Drosophila melanogaster: one gene and its partners. The protein of the gene in region 2 interacts with the protein of the main gene of each other region in a pairwise test. Each region holds a gene or a part of one and is shown on either strand. Other genes may lie near its edges. The genes, in order: Cpr35B, aspr, fkh and CG1792.

The links.
Region 1: the proteins of aspr (region 2) and Cpr35B interact in a two-hybrid assay, tested with the Drosophila melanogaster proteins (one large-scale study listed by BioGRID).
Region 3: the proteins of aspr (region 2) and fkh interact in a two-hybrid assay, tested with the Drosophila melanogaster proteins (one large-scale study listed by BioGRID).
Region 4: the proteins of aspr (region 2) and CG1792 interact in a two-hybrid assay, tested with the Drosophila melanogaster proteins (one large-scale study listed by BioGRID).

The regions. Positions count from the first base shown.
Region 1 is NT_033779.5:14,423,368-14,427,034, reverse strand, and holds Cpr35B (cuticular protein 35B), read left to right. Parts: upstream 1-1,845; 5' UTR 1,846-1,903; coding exon 1,904-1,915; intron 1,916-1,977; coding exon 1,978-2,622; 3' UTR 2,623-2,720; downstream 2,721-3,667.
Region 2 is NC_004354.4:20,146,064-20,154,585, forward strand, and holds the start of aspr (asperous), read left to right. Parts: upstream 1-2,060; 5' UTR 2,061-2,195; coding exon 2,196-2,198; intron 2,199-3,998; coding exon 3,999-4,173; intron 4,174-4,534; coding exon 4,535-4,773; intron 4,774-4,881; coding exon 4,882-4,963; intron 4,964-8,134; coding exon 8,135-8,522.
Region 3 is NT_033777.3:28,580,065-28,587,610, reverse strand, and holds fkh (fork head), read left to right. Parts: upstream 1-2,346; 5' UTR 2,347-3,057; coding exon 3,058-4,590; coding exon of another isoform or gene 4,591-5,136; 3' UTR 5,137-6,635; downstream 6,636-7,546. UniProt on the Drosophila melanogaster protein: Fkh promotes terminal as opposed to segmental development. In the absence of fkh, this developmental switch does not occur. The nuclear localization of the fkh protein suggest that fkh regulates the transcription of other, subordinate, genes.
Region 4 is NT_033777.3:31,614,022-31,618,641, reverse strand, and holds CG1792 (uncharacterized protein), read right to left. Parts: upstream 2,340-4,620; 5' UTR 2,241-2,339; coding exon 2,121-2,240; intron 2,068-2,120; coding exon 1,370-2,067; intron 1,294-1,369; coding exon 1,183-1,293; intron 1,121-1,182; coding exon 931-1,120; 3' UTR 805-930; downstream 1-804. Other genes in the region: pasha (partner of drosha), read right to left, coding at 1-104; Mnat9 (microtubule-associated Nat9), read left to right, coding at 2,639-3,241; Med (medea), read right to left, coding at 3,741-3,952, 4,012-4,138, 4,195-4,363, 4,425-4,620.

The DNA of each region.
Region 1 (3,667 bases), on a different chromosome or scaffold from region 2:
CATAATGAGTTGCAACTTGCGACTTGCAACGAGTAGAAGTGAATGTTAAAGTTGTCCCTTCGTTGTCTGCGGTTGTTGATCTGCTGCCGTTCCTGCTGCTGCTGCTGCTGTTGATTATCCCTTGACAGGGCATCAAATGCGAAAACGACCGCCCAATTTACATACAATGCACATCAATCGAATGGGCTACAACTACAGTCCTGTCACTGCCACCGGGCACCTTTGTGGCATCATCGGTTTTCCCCATCGCCTCCTATTTTTTTTTGTTGTTGCTGTCCTGTATTTACCCTTTTACCCAGCCTTTTGGGCCCGGCAATCAAGCGTACTTGTTGTACGACTCCAGCAACTGGCCAACCGGCCAAAACGACCGACCAACCGACCAACAACTTTAGCGGCCATGACACAAAGATTGACAGCATGTCGTCGCTGTTTGGAAGCCTGATTGACATGAGTAATCAAGCAGCCGAAATGTGCCCACAAAACGCAGCCAGCAATGACACTGACAACGAAACCAGCCAACCAAACCACGCAGCCTTTCGTTTGCCCCTTTGACTGACAACGATGAGTCGACAGCGACGGCAACTGGCAACTTGCAACTTGCGACTCTCAACTTGCGGCAGCAACATTGCGGCTCTGTGCCACGTTCAGACCACTGCCATAAGGGCAATTTCGATGATGAAAGAAGGGGGCTTTCACTGCTCCCAGATCTCGACTTTTGGATGCATAAGCCCAGTTACCATAATCAGTATCAATTAAACCACAACTGTTGCATAAAGTTATCTAAACACAGCAGAAGGAGCATAATTTAAGGCATTGAGGGTACATAGAGGGTACCAAAAGTAAAAATAGTAATAAATACTAATAAATACTTAGCATCATATAACTGATGGTCCTTGAATCTGTTAGCCATGTTCTTCTATCCCTTCTTTCTGAACATTCTCATCCAATTATTACATTCCCAGCTAATTCACGCATCAAATGCAAATTGCATTCAAGTATGTTCCATCCAGCCACGTAGCTCTTCTTGCCAGACTTGAGCACTTTCAAAAATCCGTATCCTTTGCGGATTACAAAACAGAACCAATATCCCCATTGTCAACTCGAATGTGGCCTTTGATGAAGGCGACACGACATTGACAGACGGTAGCCGATTGACTGCTGACAGGCGGACTGGCGGGACAACAGTCCACCGAAAGTTGGGATCCCGATCGGGATCGGGAAACGGGACTGGGATTGGGATGGGATGGGATTGGAATTGGGATTGAGGAGAGCAGACAAGCCTTTCCGATCTGGCCAAAATGAAGAAGCCGCTGCCGAGGGAGAACTGCAAACTGCAATTCTGATGACTTTTTGTCAGGCCTGATTGACGTCAACGACTCGAAGACGTTTGTCAGGCATATAAATCTTTTGGCTCGTTTGTTTCTTGGCTATGCCCACATATACCAATCCCAATCCAAATCCGACTCCAAGCCGGGGGATTATAATGGCCGACAACGACAGCGATGCGATGCATAAACAATGCCACTTTAAATTGGCAATTGTTGCGACAGTAAATTTTACAATGAATTACTACACTGCCATTCTTTTCTTTCCTCATTTTTATGTTTATTTATTTTTTTTTTTTACGGATTTTCGAAACAACAGCTAAATAAAAGGGTCGAACTGGCAGTCGAATATAATTGCACGTCTCTGGGGCGAAAGTACGACCTGATCTTGAACTGCAAATTGGGGCGTAACTAAAGACCGATTTACCAATTCTTTTTTGAAAGTTTAACCTATGGGTTCGATTTATTCCAACTATAAAAAGGCCGGGTTAAAGGTGTTTTAGGTACAGTTCACTTTGGTCTGGAGATCAGACAACAGTAGTCTAGCTAAGATTAACTCATAAACTAGCTGCGGTACCATGGCTCAAAAGGTGAGTTCAGCAAAAAAGGATAACAACTAAAGCAAATTATTATTCACCTCGATTTTCCTTAGTTTTTCATCGCCTTTGCCCTCTTGGCCATTGCGGCTATTCGGGCAGCTCCTTTCCATGGCCACGAACACCACGGTCATCACGGTGGAGCCACCAGTCATGCCTCCGTGCATCTAACATCGCACGACGATCATCACGAGGAACATCACGGTCATCATCACGACCATCACGGGCATGATGATCACCATGACTCCCATGCTGAGTATGACTTCCAGTACGGCGTCAAGGATCAAAAGACTGGGGATGTGAAGTCACAGAGTGAGTCACGACATGGCCACACGGTTACCGGACACTATGAGTTGATCGATGCCGATGGCCACAAGCGAACTGTCCACTACACGGCGGACAAGCACAAGGGATTCGAGGCTCATGTCCATCGCGAGAAGCTCCACGATCACCACCAGGCGGAGCACCATGGCCATGGACACAGCGGCTACGAGGGCGGACACGTTGAGTTCGAGGAGCACTCCTCGCAATCCGGACACGACTATGGCCACGGACACGAGGAGCACGGTCACGGTCATGGTCATGGACATGGTCACGGAAGCAGCTCCCACAGCTATTCGCTGAAACAGGAACACGGACATGGGCACGGCCACAGCCACGGTCAGGATCATGGTTTCGAGCACGGACACGGTTACCATTGAGTTGACCCCTAAGCTATACAATTGTTTATCAATCGTTTATTGAACTCTTACCAAATACCTATTGTTGTTATACCAAAATAAATCAGGCAAATATTTTCAAAATTGAAATAATTATTTGATTTGAAATGGACAAGAAGTGTAACTAAAGTTTCCCTAAAACCTATTAAAATCGAATTATAAAGTTTCTATACTTACCAACGAACTATTAACTTAAAAAAGAAACAAATCACAGTAGATAGCTCTTTTCGATACATTTGGAATATTTAAACATTTCAAATTATTAGTGAAATTTTAGCATATTTAGCATATGGTGATTTATGAATTGAATAGGCAGGCATTCGCGACTCAACACCAAGACGAGAATCGCATAGACCGTAATTTGGGTCAGAATCAGTAATGTGCGACACGACAGGCGAGATATATCACAAATTCGATTATTATAAATCATATTTGTACAGTTTATCCATAAATTAGCCCGCATATCTATCTATTCGCTGGCTATTTCAGGTGGCTGAAACTTGTATTTTTTATGCAAGCATACACACATATTGTATATATGCGTGCACATGGCGATTTTTTATGGGCGATTTCTTTTCACTTCTAGTGGTGGCAATCGGGTTTTCGGAGTTGAAAGTCCTTTATTCATCCGCGCACACCCATAAATCAAATATATATATCTCCCTAGCATTCGCGAGTGCGTGTGTTTTTGTTTGTTTGTTGCTTTCCCCTCAGCCCGAGTTGGCTACAATTTGTTTAACAGACAGGCTCGGCACATCCTTGCGTTATCCTGTTGCCCTCGTTTGTTGCTGTATTACAAATGACTGTGGAATATTTATAAGCATCATAAATTTAATTTATGTCGCCGCTGCGCCCGCCGCGTTTATTGTGCGCATAATAAACGCTCCACAAAAATCCCTTCTCGACCCAACTCGACCGGGACTCCAGTTGCCTCTCGCTTCGTGTAATTTATTATTTTTATACGTTCCATGTGTTTGTGCGGCACGCACTTTCTACATTATGTAATATACGAGATATAGTGCGAAAA
Region 2 (8,522 bases):
AATAGACCCCACGAAAACACACACAGGGCACAAGGCACCATGATGGAATATGATTGATATTGGGCGGTATGAATTATGAGGAGGCAGGGGAGTGGCTCCATTTCGGTTTGGGATCCAGGATCCCGGACAACCCAATCCATCAGGGCAACCTGTCGCGCGACCTTGACTGGCTGTTGGAAAGGAAAGGAGACAAAATATAGGCAGCTAAAATATGGTAAGCTAAGTGTTGGCCCAGAGATTTGTAGGCCAAGACGGTATAATTAAGTTGGCCCAAAGAACAGGTGCCCGTATCGGTCGTCAGGTGAATTCTCATTCAATTATGGCCAATTGGCGTACGTTTCAATTTGCAGTTTAATCTGTAATATTCCCATATCGATTCGATTTGCGGAGCTTAAGCGATGCCATTCAATGATGCCATTTCATTTGAAAATGGTAGTCGATTGCAAATTGGCAAATGGTCATTATCTTATTGCTATAGGTCAAACCATCTCTATTATTCATTCTAACCAATGCCCACGCAGCCAGCAGAAGTCAAGATTCTCGTTTTAATTGGCTCGATTCCAGTGCAGATTCGTTTGTTCTTAATCCGTTCTTTTTGATATCGAATGAAAGTGGAGCCGGTCTTGCTAAGCTTATATTTTAAACTCGAATGCCATTGAAATGGACTTAGGAAACGGTAGAGTGAGTTAGTGAAGATGTTCAATGAAATACCCAATTGGCTTATTGTGTGGTATGAGTGAATCGGAATACCTCAAGCTAATCAAGAATATTTACGGCCTCTCAGTTTTTTTTTTTTTTCAAATTTTATTTTCTTTCATTTATGTATATTCTCTTTTCGCTTACTATTTGAACGGAAATGGGCGATTTTTTGTTCTCCTCAATTTCCGACATATTTCAGATTGAAAAATATGTAAATTCGTGAAATTAATTAAATTTTGTAATGCGATTATCTACATATATCTTATGCCCAATTAAGAAGAAATAGAAAGAAGAAAAAACCTTAGCGAAATGACCATATTGAATATTTCCCCCAGTTAGTAGTAATAGGCATCCGGTGCGGATAAGATACATTCTGTTTGAAGAATCGGTATAAATTATAGTATAATAGATTTGTAAATTTAAATGACATAACTGTCTTTTAAATCCTACAAAGATAAAGAGTCGCTTAGTTTTGGATGCTTTCAGAAATATGTGTGTACATATATTACCAGGTACCGCCTAGTACTAGCGACCTGCCCATTGTGTCAAGTGGGCAATTTCTTCGTTCACAGCCAAGTTGCCTACGATCCGGAGCCGTGTTTAGTAGGAAGCCCAGCCAAGTTCGACCCACGGCACTTGGATGCAGCGGCCCACGCAGAAATCGAGCCATCATAGCAAAGGCATGACCAAAACAATCCGAAGCAAAGTCGCGTCAAGTACGCGTATATAAATAGCCCGATGCCCAGGCAAATATATGTATATATATGTATATGTATGTGTGTACGAATGACTCAGTCTGAGAAGCGATTTGGACTGAAATGATTTTAGCTAAAATCGAGCAGCACAATATACAAAGTCAACAAACAGCAAAACAAGCTTGTCAAACAGAGTTATGAGACAGAATGCTGGTGCATTGGGAAAAATAGTTTTCCAACTGACAGGCTGAACAAATATATATAACTAAATTAACTACTTCATCAATTTGATCTACTGCTTTCGTTACTCGAAATGTTTCTAGTTTAGCAAGTTGAACTTATGCAGACATAATGGTAAATTAGTTATAAAACTAATGAATTTGGTAAATTCCGATCTTTATTTTGTTAAAATTACAACAACTATTGGATGCTACTACCTGAGGAGAGATAATTTACTTTACAAATCTTTAATATCAAGCTATACTATAGTTTTTTCTCTGTGTAAGTGGAAGGGTTGTGGATGCGGGGTAGAGGGGAATTCGGGAAGGGAAGGTGAGCAGATCAGAGCAGAGCAGAGCAGCTGAGAGATGACGCCAACGTCGCTCAGCTGTTTCTCGGCCAAGTTAAGAGTTGCGGCCTTATAAATAGCCCAAGCTCGTCTAGAAGCCGACTCAGTTGAAAGCGAAGCGTGCCAAGTGGGAAATCGCAACCATTTATCAGTTGACACTTTTTGTTTTGTTTTTTATTTTACGTTCTTTATCTGCTGTAGTGCTAGTGTTTTCTAAGAACTGAACCCCGAAAATGGTGAGTTGCAGTGGGAATAACCAAAATCAATATGTATATATAAACGTGTGTTAAGGAATATATCCTTTTTTTTTTTTAAATCATCTAAACTGAAGCAATCTATCAACGATGGATAATTTATAAACAATTTTATAAAAGTAATAAAAATGGGTTCGATTTAAGGAAAGAATCTGAATCACGAATAAGTATATAGATTTAAACTTGCACATTTATTTGCTGTTTATTTTCTTCACCGCGAAAACTTAAGTGAAAAAATTACGCACAAAGGCAATACATAAAATATGCATTCAGTAAATGATACGTGAATGGAATATTGATGTACTTAAAGCAAACACGACAAAAAAAATATTCATTTCACAATGTAAGGACTTAACTTTGCTATTTGCTATTTACTTCCGGCTAGATGAATAGTGGTGAATGGATTTGCAAATACATCGAATGAACCAAGAAATATTCCCACATACTCGTAATGTTTCTGAAGCCCACGATCGGTTTATTCTTTTGAGTGTCTTCGATCTGCCTTTTATCTGCCCATTTTTTTGTTTTTTTTGGCGATGATCAATCACTCAACGCTTTTTAAGCTGCCCAAGTAAACATCAAGCCCATTATTCATTTGTTTGTGCACAAAGCCAAAAACACAAACCAATTAGTTTCTAGCACTTTAGCATAGCTTGTTATTTTAATTGCCATTACGAGAAGAGTAAAAAGTCCAATAGATTTGAATTGTTTACCTTTTTACCTACTTATGTTGAGCACTTAACATTTTCTTGCTCATTATTTAAATTTAGAAAGCATTAATTTAATCTAAACTCTGACAGGTTTTACGTTTTATTTAACTAATTCAAGATTGAACAGATTATATAGTTGACTATTTAGTTCTCGCCCTTCCAAAAGCAATTATTTAAATGTACATATGTATGTACATATATAATATAACAAATATGGCTCTGATTCACTTCACTTCCCTTGCGCAATGTAATCAGATTATAAATCACCCTGCAAGATGTGTGATTTAAGAAAAAAATCCAATTTCCTCCCTCGGTGGATCCATCCGTGCCATTTACGCGATGATCGACAACTTAGTTGATACGAACATGGACTACCATATTGGTCATTCAGAGTAATTCGAAAAGGCAGCCGACCCCCATTTGCATATTCTTATTGTATGCCGATATTTGAATAATTGTTTTTAGCCCGAATTGAGCTTCCAAAGAAGCGGACAACAAGTTTATCACCCATGTGTCATTCGCCAACAATGATCGCCACCTTGAGAGCGAAGCCATATCATCATCTCGATCGTCTCGTCTCGTCTCGTCTCATCTCCATGCCCAGTTAGCCCAAACATGGTGCCACCAGAATCCCACTGACCACTGAGAGTCCAAGTCCAAGCCAATGTTTGCTACCAAACAGCGGATCATCGAGTTAGTCATGTTTATTGGGCTTTTTCAGAACTCGAATGCGATTATGACACATAAACCGGCAAAGGGGGCGTGATACTCGCTTCTCGATTGAGATGTTTGTTCATATCGAATACTTTAGTGAATGAATCCCAATCCAGTTCAAACTCATTTCATTCGACTGGCTCTACGATTGACGCAGAATATGACATTTATCTTTGTATTACCGTTGTCTTTTATTTAGTTTCGTTACTAATGAGAACTAGTGAATGCACTCCATTTGGAGTTACTTCAAGTTAGTATTCAAATATATTCAAATATTATATTCATCTTAGATCGGTATCGTATTGAATTTAAATTCAAGTGATAGCAGCACTAATCGCAGCTGATCCTTCTCTTGCAGCAGCAGCTCCTGGTCGTGGCCCTGGTGGCGGTGGCCATCGCGTCCTTGCCCCAACTGGCCGCAGGTAAAAAGCTGGGGAAGCGCTGCGTGAACTGCACGTACCGCACTTACTACACCTACGGCGATGGGCGATCCCTGCAGCGGGTTGTCTATAGAGATCCGGTCTACACACGTGGTATTTACACAGCTTGCCTATCAGTATCCGTATTCGTAGTCTTACCGCACCAGCACGATGTACATAGGAGGAGAGCACCGCCGCCAGCACCCTGACCCCTGACCCTTGACCCTTGATCCTTGACCATTGACCCCGCGCCCCAAATGTGTCTGCAGTAGCTAACCCCTAACCCCTAACCCCTATATATATATAGTATAGTATATAGTATAGTATAGTATAGTATAGTATAGTATACATATGTATGTACATACCATACTCGTAGTAGCGTAGCATTAGAGATTAGATTGAGACACAAGTTCACCTGCGCACCAGTGCATCACCTCACCGCCTGTGCCTCTCTCCTCTCCTCTCGCCCACACAGCGCAGTCCTACGCGAGCGGATGCAGCGGTAGCCCGTGCGGCGTGAACGCCGTGTGCCAGGAGGCCTCCGGAGGACGGCCCGTCTGCTCGTGCCCGCCCGGATTCAGCGGTAATCCGCTCACCCACTGCAATCGCGGCGAGTGCCTGGACAACGTCGACTGTCGCGACAACCTGCAGTGCAAGGACAATCGCTGCGTTAATCCCTGCGTGGGTGCCTGTGGCATTGGCTCCAATTGTGACGTAAGTGGGACTTTTATGTCGCCAACACTCCTCCACGGCCAACTTCTGGCGCATTCCCTCGCATTCTGACCATCGGCACTCTACGCCACCTCCGCTTGCTCTTTCCAGGCCCGCAACCACGTGGCCGTGTGCAGCTGCCCCGCCGGCTACAATGGCGACCCATACCACGCCTGCCACCTCAACGATCCGGGTAAGTGCCTGACCACTCCACTACCGCCCACATGCCGCGGGGTAGGCGTGGCAGAGCTCAAAATCGATTAAAATGCCGGGTGTCATAAGAGTCGTTCGCTCAACTGGGAGCTGTTGAAATCAATCCGCTTCGATTGTGTATTTCGTTTCACGATTAAATAAATTAATTAATTGGGAAATCTGAGAAATGCACAATTTAAAGATATATGTACTAGTAGATGATCGAATCAATTAAAAGCTCTTAGTTCTTAACGCGCACATCTTAACATTGATTATGTACTAATAATATATGAATTACAATCATCAGCTGGTTAAAATTTTAATTAGCTAAAAGATGCAAGTGATCATACATGTATGTACATACATAGTGTGGATGTGAAAACCAAGCCGAGAAATAAGCCTTGACCACTTGAATTAAATCAAGGGCAAACAGGTTTCTTTACTGAGTTACATAACAATGAGATGAACCAAGAGGAGCGGAGTGTTTGCAGTGTTAAAATTATTGGCAATACACGAATGCACTTGAAAATTGGCATAATGCAATGCCTTGTCTAATAGAAAAATTTCAAACTAAATGAACACATAGATCGCGACATATTTGTAAACAATTTGTAAACAACTCATGTTGTTTATTATGTTTTATTTATTATTATTATTTTTTTTTTGCATTAATGCAAAGTGGACATACGACTGATTGTTCCGGAAATGCATAGATATAGACATGGATTGACATAGGTACATCGATTAATTAGCCCACTCGCGAATCCCTTCTCCACAATGAGGTGCTAGATAAGTGGCAAGATGACGTCGCAAATCCAAGTGGTATTGCCAAATTTGGTCAAATCTAGTGTATTGACAAAAACAGGGGGCTGGGCCTCTGGACAGCATGTGGGTTTACCTTGCTTGCATAACATTTTGCACTCGATGATAATGAGAATTATAATAATAATAATAATAATCCAAAGCCAACGGCCAACGCCCAACACTTGGGGCCTTTGTAATTTTATGGTAATTAGCATAGCATTTCGCTTCGCAATTGTCAAGATCAAGGACGCAGTGGGCGAGCTCTCAAGGCCAACGAGTGTCCGTAGTCGAGCCTAGTAGAGCTGGAATCCGACGGAACCGAAAGGTGGCCCCGGTTAGGCACCAGTCAACATCCGATTATGGTCATAAGCTGCGCAGGTCGGCCAGCTACCATTCAGGTAGCACAGGTCGGCCGAGTGGCTTGGGAATTTCGCTGGAAGAAGACAACTTGATCCACCCGGGGGCTACACTGCAAGAAACTGATTGAAAAATATCATCTTTAGAACGACAAACTGAAGCACACTGAACGTAATTTGATCGGCTTAAATATTTAAGCGTTCTAAATGGGAATAGTAACATTTCCAAACACTTCATATTCAGAACTTGCCATAAATAGTGGCTAAGCGCAGGTTCCGTCATTAGTTGAAATAATTCCTGCTGGGAATTTCTTAACTATAAATATTAAAATTAACACATAATTGAAAGCTTTTTTCTAAATTGTGACCGTGAAAGTTGAGCGGTGTAAATGTCACTAGGACCTGCTTGTTTATTACCAACATTCTGGCTTTTATACGAACGGACAAACGCACATGTTCAAAAGGCAAATTAACTAGAACTTCTAACCAGGAAATTATTTGATGGGTGGGGGGGGGGGGGGGGTCTTCTACCTCAACGAATCTATTATATTCCTTAACTTTTAACGCCAATATTGAGCTGCTAAATATTATCTTTGGCTTGAATTTCTTTAAAATAAAGTCAGTTGAAAACCAATTTCAATTGCTGTCCGTCCAAGAGTCGGCGTCAATAAATTGCATCTCTACGTTGGTTGCTCATTCGGGATTCGTGTCGAGTCCAAGGGCCTGGCATTTCTCGCCCCTTTTCCGATTTCTGCATCTTAACTGGTCCTCCGATATACATATATTCTTGATTTCACTTAAATCCCTTTCTGTGTTGCCTTTACTCCGGCCTCCGTTTGCGTGCAATTCCCATTGAAATACAATATTTATTTGCATTTCCAATTAGCAACTGACTTGGAAACAATAATTGCAAACGAACAGTCTGCGGGGAATGGAAGTAGCTCGGATTCCCTGCTCCATGATGTTCCCTGCTGCCGCCCCAAGGACACCGGATTCTTTTCCATTCATGTTCCTGGGGAGCCGAAGCAGTTGCGATTCCCTTTGGGCGTGTTGCAGACCAACTGAAAACATTCACGGACATTTGCCTTAAAGATTTCGTGCAGGAATACAAATGAATTGCTAACATTTAAAGGTCCACAATGCGTTTGCCACGCCGATAATAAAAAATAACTATTTGGTTAGCTATATATTTCGAAGAAAATCTACCAATACATCGATTTAATGTCGACGACGAGCATTTCCGACTTTCGTTGCAAGACATTTTGCAATCGATTTTCAAAACCGAACTCCACATTTCATTACAATACATTTTCCCGGCGCGGAAAAGTTGCTGCTTCTCGCAAATTATGTCAAAAGGAAATGTAAGAGAAAAGGCCTGATAATGGCGAAACTTTTGCCATCGGAACGGAAAACAACGCAAACTAATTTCTTGACTTGCTCACCGCACCACCACCATCATCATCATCATCATCATCACCATCATCATCATCATCATCTTGAACGACGAGTAACAACAATTGGTGCAAAAATAAAAGAAAATATGGGGTAAAAACCAAAAATATGCGCATAAATGAGCCCGGCTATTTGAATATGATTTTCTATTTGCCCACTTTGAGTGGCCGGCCCCCAATTATTGGCCCCATTGGAGGTATTTTCCCGATTTGACCGGAACACAAGTCACATGACCCGGCATAAATCAAAAATGGGGCAGCAACAGCGGATGTTGACAGGGGCCACAACCCCCAACGATGGTGAAAGGTGAAAGGTGAAAGGTCGGGTGGAAAACAACTTCCTTCGTCGGCCGATTGAACTTTTCATAGACTCAACTAAATCGACACTTGAACTTGGCAATATAGCACTTACTTACTGAAAAGTCTTGCTCAGATGGAAATGAATCCATCATCGCCATGCCGCATTCAAAATATACTGTTGCAGACAGCTTTGTGGGCGAGTCTACGACACTGCTGTGTGTCGTCCATTTCCAAACATTAATCTCTCATTCCATTCCGCAGAGGAGCAGTGCCATCCCAGTCCGTGCGGCGTTAACACCAAGTGCGAGATCATCAACGGCGTGCCCACCTGCTCATGCGTTCACGGCTATGTGGGCAATCCGCTGAGCGGCTGTCGCCACGAGTGCGATCACGATGGCGACTGCAGCAGCCGGGACATGTGCTCCAGCAACTTCAAGTGCGTGCCGGCATGCGGGCAGTGCGGCACTGGCGCCACCTGCCGAACGGTCAGCAATCACCGGGCTGTCTGCGAGTGCCCCAAGGGCTACATTGGCAGCCCGTACACGGAGTGCCGACCGGAGTGCTATGGCGATGCCGACTGCCCGGCCGGGCGACCCGCCTGCTTCTACGGCATCTGCAAGAACACCTGCGAGGGTGCCTGCGGCATCGG
Region 3 (7,546 bases), on a different chromosome or scaffold from region 2:
TATATGTATATGATTTTGTAAAGTCATTGCCACACGGCGCATGCGTCACATAAATGCTTAAAACAAACAGAAAGCGCAGCATTTTAAAGCCATATCAACGAAAATCAAAACAAAGCGGCAAAAAAGTAGTAAAGCAAATATTTTCCATAAATAACCATTTGGGGATGCGTTGGGCGCCAACAATTGAAACTAATTAAAAAGTTTGACCATGGCTTAGAGCCGAATACATCCGACTGTATCAAAAAGGCAGCCAATCTGAATCCGAATCGCAATGTAAATCGCCATGTGAATCCGACCTACAGTGGCGCGCTTTTAAAGCAAATAAATAAATAGATAAATGACTAAAGGTAAATAAGTACACATTTTTGGACTGCCTGGCATTACTATTTGCAGAGAGTCTACGCCAAAAAAGCACACATTTGATGCGCTCTGAACAACAAAAATACCTACCAACCCAACGCCCACACGGCAAACATTAATGAGCCAAAGCCACTTGAATTGCCTGTGAAATACAATAAAAATATTAAATATTTAAGCACATTACGGTTATTAGAAGTGCACATAAGGATTTGAGTACATATGTGCTCAGTCACCGAAAGTGTTTGATGTTTAATGATCATCACGATGGGATATAGATATCCGAGTGGCAAGCCAAACAATGTTAAACAGGTTAAATATTATGAATACCATTGTTGAGCGAAAGATTTTTTCCTGATTCAGTTTCGCTTATCTCTCAATCTTATCTAACCCATGGTTATTGTAAACAATTATTCAAACAATTTGAAGATAATCTTGAATATGATAAAAATATTACTCAGTAGTGCTTTTGTGAAGGGGAAACGGCTCTATATGACATAAGTCATTAGTCATTATAATTACTCGGAAATGGGGCGATCATAAAAATGTGATTTCTCCCACAAGCGAAATGTTTCATTACATTTCATTGATAATTTCAAAAATTCAATGTCTCAGCGCCTAGATGAAGGCTACAAAAAAGTGAGAGGAGAAAGAACTGCTGCATTGACAAATGGAAAAGTAATGCGGAAATTCCCCGCTTTTCCTCCCGCTCAGGTAGATCTTAATTGAGCAAAACATTCATTGAGAAACGAGACAATCGTCCTTTTATGACACGCAATAATGAGCCTGGCTCACACACATACACTCTCACGGATTGGCACACACTCGCACACGGACACACACACACAGGCACTCGCAGATACACTTGGCCAAGCGAAAGGGTTAAGCGGAATAGGAAAGGCGTCTATGGTTTATGGCCCGAAATTAGAATGCGTTTTATCCGGGACCATAAACGTGGATAAATTGCCAGGATACCAGGAAGTAGCTGCCAGCACGCGCTATCAATGAACTGTGGATGCTTATGTTTCGGGTATCTTAGGTAGGATGCAGTGGGATGCTCGGATGAGATGCGGCTGATGCTGGCCAGATGCAGAACTGGGTCACTTTCGCAATGACTTGCCAAAAAGGTGAACTGCGCCGCTGTTCTGATGATTTGCTGCTGCCGCTCGCGATGCCTCGCCACGAATGCGAATGGGAATGAATGAGAGTGACATTGGCATACCTTAACCTCAAAAGGGAAAAAGCGGTACGGATACGAAAAAAAACTGGCTGAAAAAACACACACAGATATTATTAAATGTCTTGTTTGGGAGCCAAACCCAGCCAAGCCAAGCCAGGCCAGGCCAGGCCAAAACACTCGGTCTTTTTGTTTCTCTCGAAAAACAGAGCGTCGTCGCATTCTCAGTCTCCCCAGAGATTCGGTCTCCAGAACCCGTCTTAATGGTTTTTTTTCCACATTTTTTCTTTTTATTTTCTGATAGCACGCTACGGCGAGAAGGAGAGCGAGCGATTATTGATCGCATTAGGGAAAATCGTTAACTGTAACATGGCGTCGCTCAGCATTAGGCTAGGCCACTGCGAATGTATCTGCAGCTGTATGCGTATCCGGTATCTCTGCCCGTGTATCTCTGTCCGCACCGCTGAGGGTGTGTGAGTGGAGGGCGTTGCTGACTGCGGCCTGGCCACGCCCCCCCAATGGCCAGTTGCCTGGCAACCGGCCCTGCTCTGTTGATACAAGAGGCCAACCGACCAATGCGCTTGCGCCGCAGCACCACTGTGTACGTAAGAGAACCGCCGCCTGTCATTGGTAACTCCGCCAGGGTGGTGGTGAGACGCACTATACCGCCGGGCCATTGGCGAGAACGAGTCGGAGCTGGTGCTGCCCGGGCGCGTCGCTGCTGCCGCTGCCGCCGCTGTCGACGCCGACGTCGGCCGAGGCACTTGAGCGCGGCTCGAACAATATTTGTTGGCAGCAAGCGCAAGCCAAATAGTAGACAAGCGTTCCCCTCTGCAAACAGTCACATTCAAGAGCTCAAGCCAAAGAGACACTCGAGCGGACCAGCAGCTAAAGCGGCAACGGCAACAGCAGCATCAGCCAAAGCAGCAAAAGCAAAAGCAGCAGCAGCAAAAGCAGCAGCACAGCACAGCACAACTCCCAGCTTCAGACTTCAGTGGCCAACAGCCAGCTAGATATTCACGTTCGTGCGTCGGTGTTTTGTGGCCGCTCGGTGCGGCAGACAACAAAAATCCCCATACAAAAATACAAAGAAAATACAAAAAGAATCGAATCATAACAGAAAATAAATATATATTTTATATGATTATCCCGCACAAATAATTAAACCACGGTGTGTGTTTACAAACAAAGCTTAGAATCAGAATCAGAATCGCAAACGGAATCAGAACCTTCCAGCCAACAAGTGACAAGTGCCGAAGTGCTCTCGATAAAATGCCAGATATATGCAAACCGATTGAAGCAGTGATAGTGCACTGAAATCACAGTTGATATACAATATATCAGAGTAAAGCCACGTTTTAAAGACCTCCTTTTTGATTTTCGTTTTAACTAACGCGTTGCAGAACGCGTTGCCTTTTCCATCGATCCACCAGAGGGCAGCGCCTCCGAAAGCCGGCAACATAACGGCGCAACTATTGAACAGCTTTCTGAAGGGTAGCCCCCACCAGACCACCATTGACATCATGCAGAAGCTCTACGCGGAGCCGCCTCCGAGCAGTGCTCCGGTGAGCATGGCCAGCTCGGGTGGCGGTGGTCCTCCGTCGGGCGGCGGTGGAGGCGGCGGCGGAGGAGGAGGCGGTGGGCCCCCACCGCCCAGCAATAACAACCCGAATCCGACGAGCAACGGCGGCAGCATGAGTCCCCTGGCTCGATCCGCCTACACAATGAACAGCATGGGCCTGCCGGTGGGTGGCATGTCATCGGTTTCCCCTCAGGCGGCGGCCACATTCAGCTCCAGCGTCCTGGACTCGGCGGCGGCGGTCGCCAGCATGAGCGCCAGCATGAGTGCCAGTATGAGCGCCAGCATGAATGCCAGCATGAACGGCAGCATGGGTGCGGCGGCCATGAACTCAATGGGCGGCAACTGCATGACCCCCAGCTCGATGAGCTACGCCAGCATGGGATCACCGCTCGGGAACATGGGTGGCTGCATGGCCATGTCGGCAGCGAGTATGTCGGCGGCGGGATTGAGCGGCACCTATGGCGCCATGCCGCCGGGATCCCGGGAAATGGAGACGGGATCGCCGAATTCCCTAGGCAGATCGCGGGTGGACAAACCAACTACGTACAGAAGGAGCTACACGCATGCCAAGCCGCCATACAGCTACATCTCACTGATCACCATGGCCATTCAGAATAACCCCACCAGAATGTTGACGCTCTCGGAGATCTATCAGTTCATCATGGATCTGTTTCCGTTCTACAGGCAGAATCAGCAGCGCTGGCAGAACTCCATTCGACATTCGCTGAGCTTCAACGATTGCTTCGTAAAGATTCCCAGGACGCCGGACAAGCCAGGAAAGGGATCGTTTTGGACTCTGCATCCGGATTCGGGGAATATGTTCGAGAACGGGTGCTATTTGCGGCGACAGAAGCGTTTCAAGGACGAGAAGAAGGAGGCCATTAGGCAGCTGCACAAGAGTCCGTCGCACAGCAGCCTGGAGGCCACCAGTCCGGGCAAGAAGGATCACGAGGACTCGCACCACATGCACCACCACCACCACAGCCGGCTGGACCATCATCAGCACCACAAGGAGGCGGGCGGAGCATCGATCGCCGGCGTAAATGTCCTGAGTGCAGCGCACAGCAAGGACGCGGAGGCCCTGGCCATGTTGCATGCCAATGCCGAACTGTGCCTCAGCCAGCAGCCGCAGCATGTGCCCACACATCACCACCATCAGCACCACCAGTTGCAGCAGGAGGAGCTGTCGGCGATGATGGCCAATCGGTGCCATCCGTCGCTGATCACCGACTACCACTCGTCGATGCATCCGCTGAAGCAGGAGCCCTCTGGCTACACGCCCTCCAGCCATCCGTTCTCCATCAACCGCCTGCTGCCCACGGAGTCCAAGGCGGACATCAAGATGTACGACATGAGCCAGTACGCCGGCTACAACGCCCTCAGTCCGCTGACCAACTCACACGCTGCCTTAGGCCAGGACTCCTACTACCAGAGTCTTGGCTACCATGCGCCCGCCGGAACCACGAGCTTGTGACATCACCAATACCCGCTGGCTTAAGGACGCGCGGAGCAGATGCTGCGCTCGCAGCAGCAACAGCACTTGCAGCAGCAGCACCAGCAACACCAGCAGCAACAGCAGCAGCACCAGCTGCATCAGCAGCAGCAGCAGATGCAGCAGTCGGCGCAGCAACTGACATCCGCTTCCAATACACCAGCAACATCAGCAAAGGCCAGCGGCAAGGCGGGATCGGCTTCGGCCTCGGGATCTGGGTCAGGATCGGGTTCAGGATCGGGCTCTAACTACTCACAGAAGCTGCAACAGCAGCACCAGCAGCAGCAACAACAGCAGGCGGCGGCGCAGCAGCAACACCACCAGCAGCAGCAACAACTGCTGCAGGAACTGCAGGAGGACTCATCGAACATCACCAGCGATCTGAGCGAGGAGCAACTGCAGCAGCATCAGGCCGCCCAGCAGCAGTTGTACAACAACTATCAGCAGTATGCCGCGGCGGCAGGCTACAGAAATTGGAATCACGGCCTGGCTTTCAATGGAGCCGCCGCTCTGCAGAATCTTCTGTAGCTATAGCTATAGATCCCGATCTCCACAGGCAGCGGCTTTGTAGCGGGCCTGCCAATTAGCGAGTGCAGTGGCGGTGGCTTTTAGCACCTGGCCGCATCCGCATCCGCACTCGCATCCTCATCCTTTGAGCACGTGAGTCTTGGGCCGCAACTCGCACTTGTACATATAGAGATACCTATGAAGAGCCGATCGAGAGCGCTGCCTTTTGTGTTGTTCAGTTCCAGTACTATATATTGTAGATTATATAGATTCTGTTCCGGGGGGTTATTAAATCGACATAGAGCAGGAGGAGGAGGAGCGAAAGAAACCGTGATGTAGTTGTAAGTGCAGCAGAACTTTTGTTAACAATTTTACGTTTTGCTAATACAAATACAAAATAATAATTCCGTGCCATTTGTTTTCGTTGTTTCGAAACAAGCAATAACAATCAAAGCGGTTATAACTGAAAATTTGAAATCACATTTTAAATGTATCCGATTAAGGAGAAGATTGAGGAGAGGAGATGTAAAGAAGGGATCGTGTGTAATGTTCTTTCATAAAACAAAGCCCCAAATGAAACAGTCCCAAAAAGAGAGATACAAATACTAAACCCTTTATCCAAAGGCAATCGCAATCGAATTCGAATCGCAAAAGATCAAAACCAAAAAGAAATCTAAAACCGAAATCATCATATTGAGCAGTCCAGCAAAACCCTAAGAATCTTCAACTATCTAAGCAACAAAATCTGGCCATGCATAAGAAAACGACACGTTTTAACTGAATAATTTAACAAATTTCCATTTATATATACGCGCATCGATATACGCCCATGTATCGCAAAATCCCGCATTTCATTTACATTATGTGTCTTCTGTTGTTGTACGAATTCGTTAGATTAAGGCATTTTGTAAATAATCTATAAATAGATACATTTAAGCAACCCCCTCCCCAAGAAACCCAATTTAACTAAGGACCCATTGCAAGCAACCAATTTTTAACTAACTCGAGAATTAATCAAATTGTATGAAATTATGCCACACCACTTGAAAGTAAACATAGTATAAATATAAATACTGTATAGCATTTAACGTTTAATTAGCATAAATAATGAAAGCAAAAAACAAAAATGAAAAAAAATCACATAAAAAGCGAAACTGCAATTATTATTCAATAATTTTTAATATTAGTTATATTGTGCGTAATGAAAAATAAAAAACCAATTGCAAACACAAAACAAAGACCCATTTTTACATTGAGCTAAGCTAATTAATTAAACTTGATAAAAAATAGTCTAAATATAAACACCCACACACACACACACATACTGACACTGACAGACACAGAAACAAATGAAAATTATTGTAAAATACACAATATAAAATTCAATAAATGTCAACGCAAGAATTAAAATCCAACTCTAAAGCTAGTAAAATTAATATTATTATAAATCATGCAAAACAAACACAACGTCAACGACAACCAAAATCGACTATTTTAATGTTTGAAATACAAGAAAAAGGAAAAAAAGTACCATAAATTAGTTTTCATTTCCCAACCTTTGTTGACTCAAGCAACTGACCTCCAACAATCATTTATATATTGATTGGGCCGCCCGGATGGCTGACTATCTCCATCGACGCTATCGACGCTATCAATGCAGCGAATTCGAATTGAACGACCGATAGCTGAGCTGAGTAGTTCCAGGAGTCGCTATCTTATCGCCGTCACTCAGATGCAGAGTGCAGTTTTCCACCACTACCATGCCACGATAAACCCTTATCGCCGTGCACTCATAAATTGCAACGGAACAAGAAGGTAAACAAACAACCAGGATGGGACATGGGACCCATCCCAGCCCATCCCATACCGTCCTATACCGACCCATTCCCGCCCGGACTTGACACACTGACTAACCCATCTCAGTCCAGCACAACCCAGCCCGATCCCTCTGGCCAAAAAGAGCGGGAAGGGTAGTGGATATCTTCTGCCCGACTTGACTCGACTCCCCTCTGTTTGCTTTCTAGTAATATTCATGGAGCACTACGAGCCGAGTTCGAGCACCTTCCCTATCGCTGCAATGGACCTTATCGCTGCAATATAACCCAACAGAGCCTGATCCGACGCAGTTCCCCCTGGCGAACTACTACCACCTTTTGATTAAAATCGGTGTGATTCATTTGGAAGAATCTACGATCCAGGTCCTACGATTCTCGGACATTCCGAAGACATTAAAATTATTGCTTATCTAGAGCTCGGGCATGAGCGTGTTTGACGAGCAGTTGTCGCTTTTAATTAAGCGAGAAGGTCACCATTTTCTATATGTCCATACGACACATTTTATTTATATGTATGTACATGTGTGCCTGTGGGGGCGACTGGACTGGCTTTAATACATTTTTTATAGCCTCCAAGCCGACTGGAGATGTTCCAT
Region 4 (4,620 bases), on a different chromosome or scaffold from region 2:
AGCGAAAAGCCGGCCACCTTGAGCTCCTGCTCCTCGTCCTCCAGCCGGGGACGCTTGCGGACCTGCCCAGAGTCCGGGCAGTCGGCCAGCGGCTTCTCCGCCATTGTATTGGATGTGTGTGTCTAAAGCGGGAGGGGTTTAGTGCGGACTGATCGGAACTGTCTAGTAATGCTGTCCCGGGGCCAATCTCGCCAATAACCAATACTGAGAGCATCCAACGCCTTGCAATTGATTTCTCATTGGAAGTGCCACATTGGTTAAGCCAGAAGCCCCGCCGGAAAATTCTGCGACTGCACTTTCGCGGATTGTAAACGATGCTACTTGCTGCGTCTTTCGCTATGGATTCTGCCTAATTGTCGGACAAAATCCCAAAGCAAAAGCTGCGCAATTCAAGTACGAAATCGAGATTTTAGAGAGAGGATGTTAGTTGGGAAAAATAACCAAACAAGCGAAACAAACACCACATGCAGTTTTGCGGAAACAGATTGACACTTTTGAATTGGGGTTAGTGATGGTTCCAGGTATTATCCTCCGGAGAAGAACGTTTGGTCTTAGGATCTATTGTAACAGCAGCTCCAAGCACTTTTCTACTGATTTTGCAAGAAATTTTGCAATTTAAAGACGCCCCCTAATTTATTTAGTGCAAGACAGTGTGACCAGGCTCATGACATTTTAAAATGCTGGCTACTCCCCAAGCCGGTAAACAATGTTCGAATTTAGATTTTATTATATTTTAAAACATAAAAATAATGTAACTAAAAATTAGTGCGCAGCCTAAGTAAGGTAATCTCTATTGGCCATTTTGAAAAAATCAGTTTTTATTCAACACAGCCATATTTGAACATATTCCATTTTCGATTAATATTAAGTGCATTGAGTATTAATCCGAATATCAGATCGGGGATCCATTGATTTTTAGTACAGTTTATCCTAAGATCCACTTTTTCCTAGTAAAGCCTCATCCTTAGCCCCTGTCTGCATGCCGTTACTGGCCTTCACGTCCAGTTCCACAGGATTGTCCAGTGCCGCCTGGGCGCTTGAAGTGTGGGCGTGACCTTTTGAGCGATAGTGGGAGGTCAGGTGGGAGCGGCGAACGAAGGAGACTTGGCAGGAGTCGCAGCTGAAAAACAGATAAACAGAGTCAAGGATCCTCAATAAAACTTCAGGTAACTAAGATCTTACTGGAACGCTCGCACTCCGGTGTGACTCAGCATGTGCGTGCGGAGTTTTCCGCTCATGGCAAAGCTTTTATTGCATTCCTTGCACGTGAAGGGCTTGACATTCGTGTGGCGCCTGATGAAATGGAAAGTGGTCAGAAATATGTGAAAAGCATTAGACGTTTCATGAATGGGAACGAGTTCTGTCGTACATGCGTTCGTGCTGGATGCGTCCGCTGGCGTTGCTGTAGGTTGCCTCGCAGTAGCGACACTGAAACAAAGCATTCCCCGCATGCAGTTCTTGGTGGCGCCGCAGAAGCGTAGCAGTGTAGAACTGCTGGGAGCACTGGTCACAGGCAAAGCTCTTTACGCCGGTGTGTCGGAGGAGGTGCAACTTGAAGTTGCTGGGGCAGGTGAAGTGCCGGCCACACTGCTCGCATATGCAATCCCGCTTGCGTCGCTCCCGCTTTAGGGCCACCACTTCGTCCTCGGTGAGTCTGCTCCACTGGGTGCGCGTGGCCTGGCTATTGTCCGCAAACTTAACGGAGGTAAAGACTGTGGGCGTGGTCTTTGTACTTCTGCGGAGCTTCTTCTCCTGCGCAGGAACCTTCACTTGGGGCTGCTCGTTCTGCTCACATATTTCGTACGGCTCTTCCGTCTCTTCCAGCAGGTGTTCCTCGGGTAGAAGGTCTATAACCTCGATCTCGGTGACCTCTTCAGCGTACTGAATCTCCTTCTCCACACCAACTGCGAAGGATTCGATCAATTCCGCGTTCCCCAGGTTGGGACTTTCCTGCAGCGTTTTTTGGGTTCGAATCACACGTTCCCGGAAAGCAATCGCCGTCTGCAGGTCCAATTCGCAGGGTGAGCAAATAAAGGGGGGCAGCTCGTTCCCGGGTCCGCCGAGCAACTACGGATAATCCAGACTTAAGTTTGAAAACACAAAAATAGAAAGGTACTCACAAACAAACCAGTAAGAACCTCGATCTGGTGCAGCATTACGGAATTGGGCTCCTCGAAGAGGTTACTGGGCGTCGAACAGAAAATGAACAGGCCGCAAGTCCGGCAATTACGATTCGGCATTTTTAAACTTATTTATTTAGTAACACTTAAGAAAAAATTAATCAGAAAATTGCTCTGCTTTTCATATTGTTGCTCCTTTGGCAATGCCAGACTGTTATAGCTAAGAAGATGTGGCACCGCTGCCACAACATCGTAAGGGGGATTCCTGAACAGATCTTAATTTTTAATTCGATTGATTATTTGATATTACTTTATTTGATTACTCGCTTTTCTCCATTCGATTTAAGAGTTCATTTCAAAAATATTACCTTATTTGCAGTGCTTACGCAAAGAGAATTCCTTACAGTGTAGATTCAGGTGGCCACTATATAGCTTGAGCAGCTGATTGATGTAAACAAGCTTACAATAACAAATATTTCCAGATTGTAGAATATTCCTAAGTTTTTCCAAATTTAAGGATGCATCTAAACGAGAACACCAAAATACTGGGTCACAGGGTCATCCTTGTGCCCTACGAAGCGCGCCACGTGCCCAAGTACCACGAGTGGATGAGCAACGAGACCCTGAGGGAGTTGACCGCATCCGAGGAACTGACCTTAGAAGAGGAGCACGAGATGCAAAGGAGTTGGAGGGAGGACAGCGACAAGCTGACCTTCATTGTCCTGGATGCAGAGACTTATTCGCGTGATCAGGATGAGATTGCCGCCATGGTGGGCGACACCAATCTCTTCCTGCACCAAGATCCCGATAGCCAGATACCAACGGCGGAGGCGGAAATCATGATTGCCGAACCTTATGCACGGGGCAAGGGATTCGGCAGGGAAGCCATGCTCCTCATGCTCAAGTACGCCCAATCGCAGCCCCAGCTTAAATTGGATAAATTCGAGGTCAAGATCGACATGGACAACGCTGCATCGCTGCATTTGTTTAAGAGTTTTATGTTCGTGGAGACGCGTCGAGTGGAGATCTTCCACGAGGTCACCCTGGAGCGACCTATCACTCCAGATTGGATCAACTGGCTGGACCAGCAGGTGGATCTGCGTATGCAGTGCTATCAGTGAAAAGAAGCCTTTAGAATCGTAATTTCACGGTCTGTTTATTACACTTATGTTACATCTACTTGTTTCGCTTGCCTTATTTATGCTGCATTTTACATCAAATGAATGTATTTATGGGTGCATCGATGTCTCTTTTTGTTTCGCCCTGTGGCTTGGATGATTGTAATGCTGTGTATGCTTCTCGTTTTTTTTTTTTTTAATTTGTAATTTTCGTGGCAGGAAATGGACAACAAACATTGGCCGCTTGTTCAGTATCTCCGGTGTTGTGTGGGCGTATATTTAAGTATAGTACATAAAACTAGATGCTTAGTGCTTTACAGCTGCATACTTAAGACTTCTAAGTTGTTTCAATTTTTTATAAAAATTATTATCAAATAATCAAAGGCAAACATAATCGTAATCAGAATTGCAAATGAAAAACACAAAATCCGCAAATAGCTGACGGATAGCTGCCGCTAAAACTGAGTCCTTAGCATAGATGTGGGCCAATAATAAATACGGATTAGGCGGCGGCACGCGGGCCATCGATCGGCATGGCGTGCAGCACTTCGTCCAGCAGCTGCAGGGCGCGATGCAGGTGCACCTCGATCCAGCAGGGCGTTTCTTTGATGGACTGGCGTGGGTAGTCAGGTCCCCAGCCCTTGACGAAGCTCAGGCGCAGGATGCATAACCGGCGCAGATCGTCCACGCCAATTCCAGCCGCTGCTGTCATGCCTGGAATACCGCATCAACACATTAGTTTTCCCTAAATCAAACTGATTCCATCTACTTACTCCTTCCGCCGCCGCCCATTTGCTGATTGGCCACTCCGGCCACGGCTGCCGCCTGAGCAGCGGCCGCTGCCTGCGCATTGGTCGCCAGCGAGTGCATCTGCTGGTGGCACTGGCGCAGGTCAAACACCTGCATGAGAAAATGTATGTTAAGCTATCACATTAAACTCTCTTGATTGCACCAACCTTTATGCACGCGGCCGGATAAATCTTGTGCACAGCATCGCCAGGTGTGCGTCCTGCCTCGCGATCCAGATAATAGCTTTGTACGAAAACTGAATTGTCACTAAGACAGCGCAGCCAGACGTCGCCCTCCCCACGCAGATCCAATTGCACGCCCTTGCCGATGTGGAGCCTGCATGGAACTTGGTAATTAATCCCTGCTCTGCAAGTTACTCCCAGGGGGATGTACTCACCTGGCCCGTTCCGATTGTTCAGTGCGATGAACATTGCTCAAGGCGCCCAGACAGAATCGATTGCCTCCAGAGGGATCCACATAGCCGTCGATGATTACGTTCGGTTTCGCTGACGGCACCTTGAAGGTCTCGCCCACTTGCGTGTCCAACTCGAAGTATGCGATGGAGCACCAGTATTCCGGCGGCGGTTGGCGAG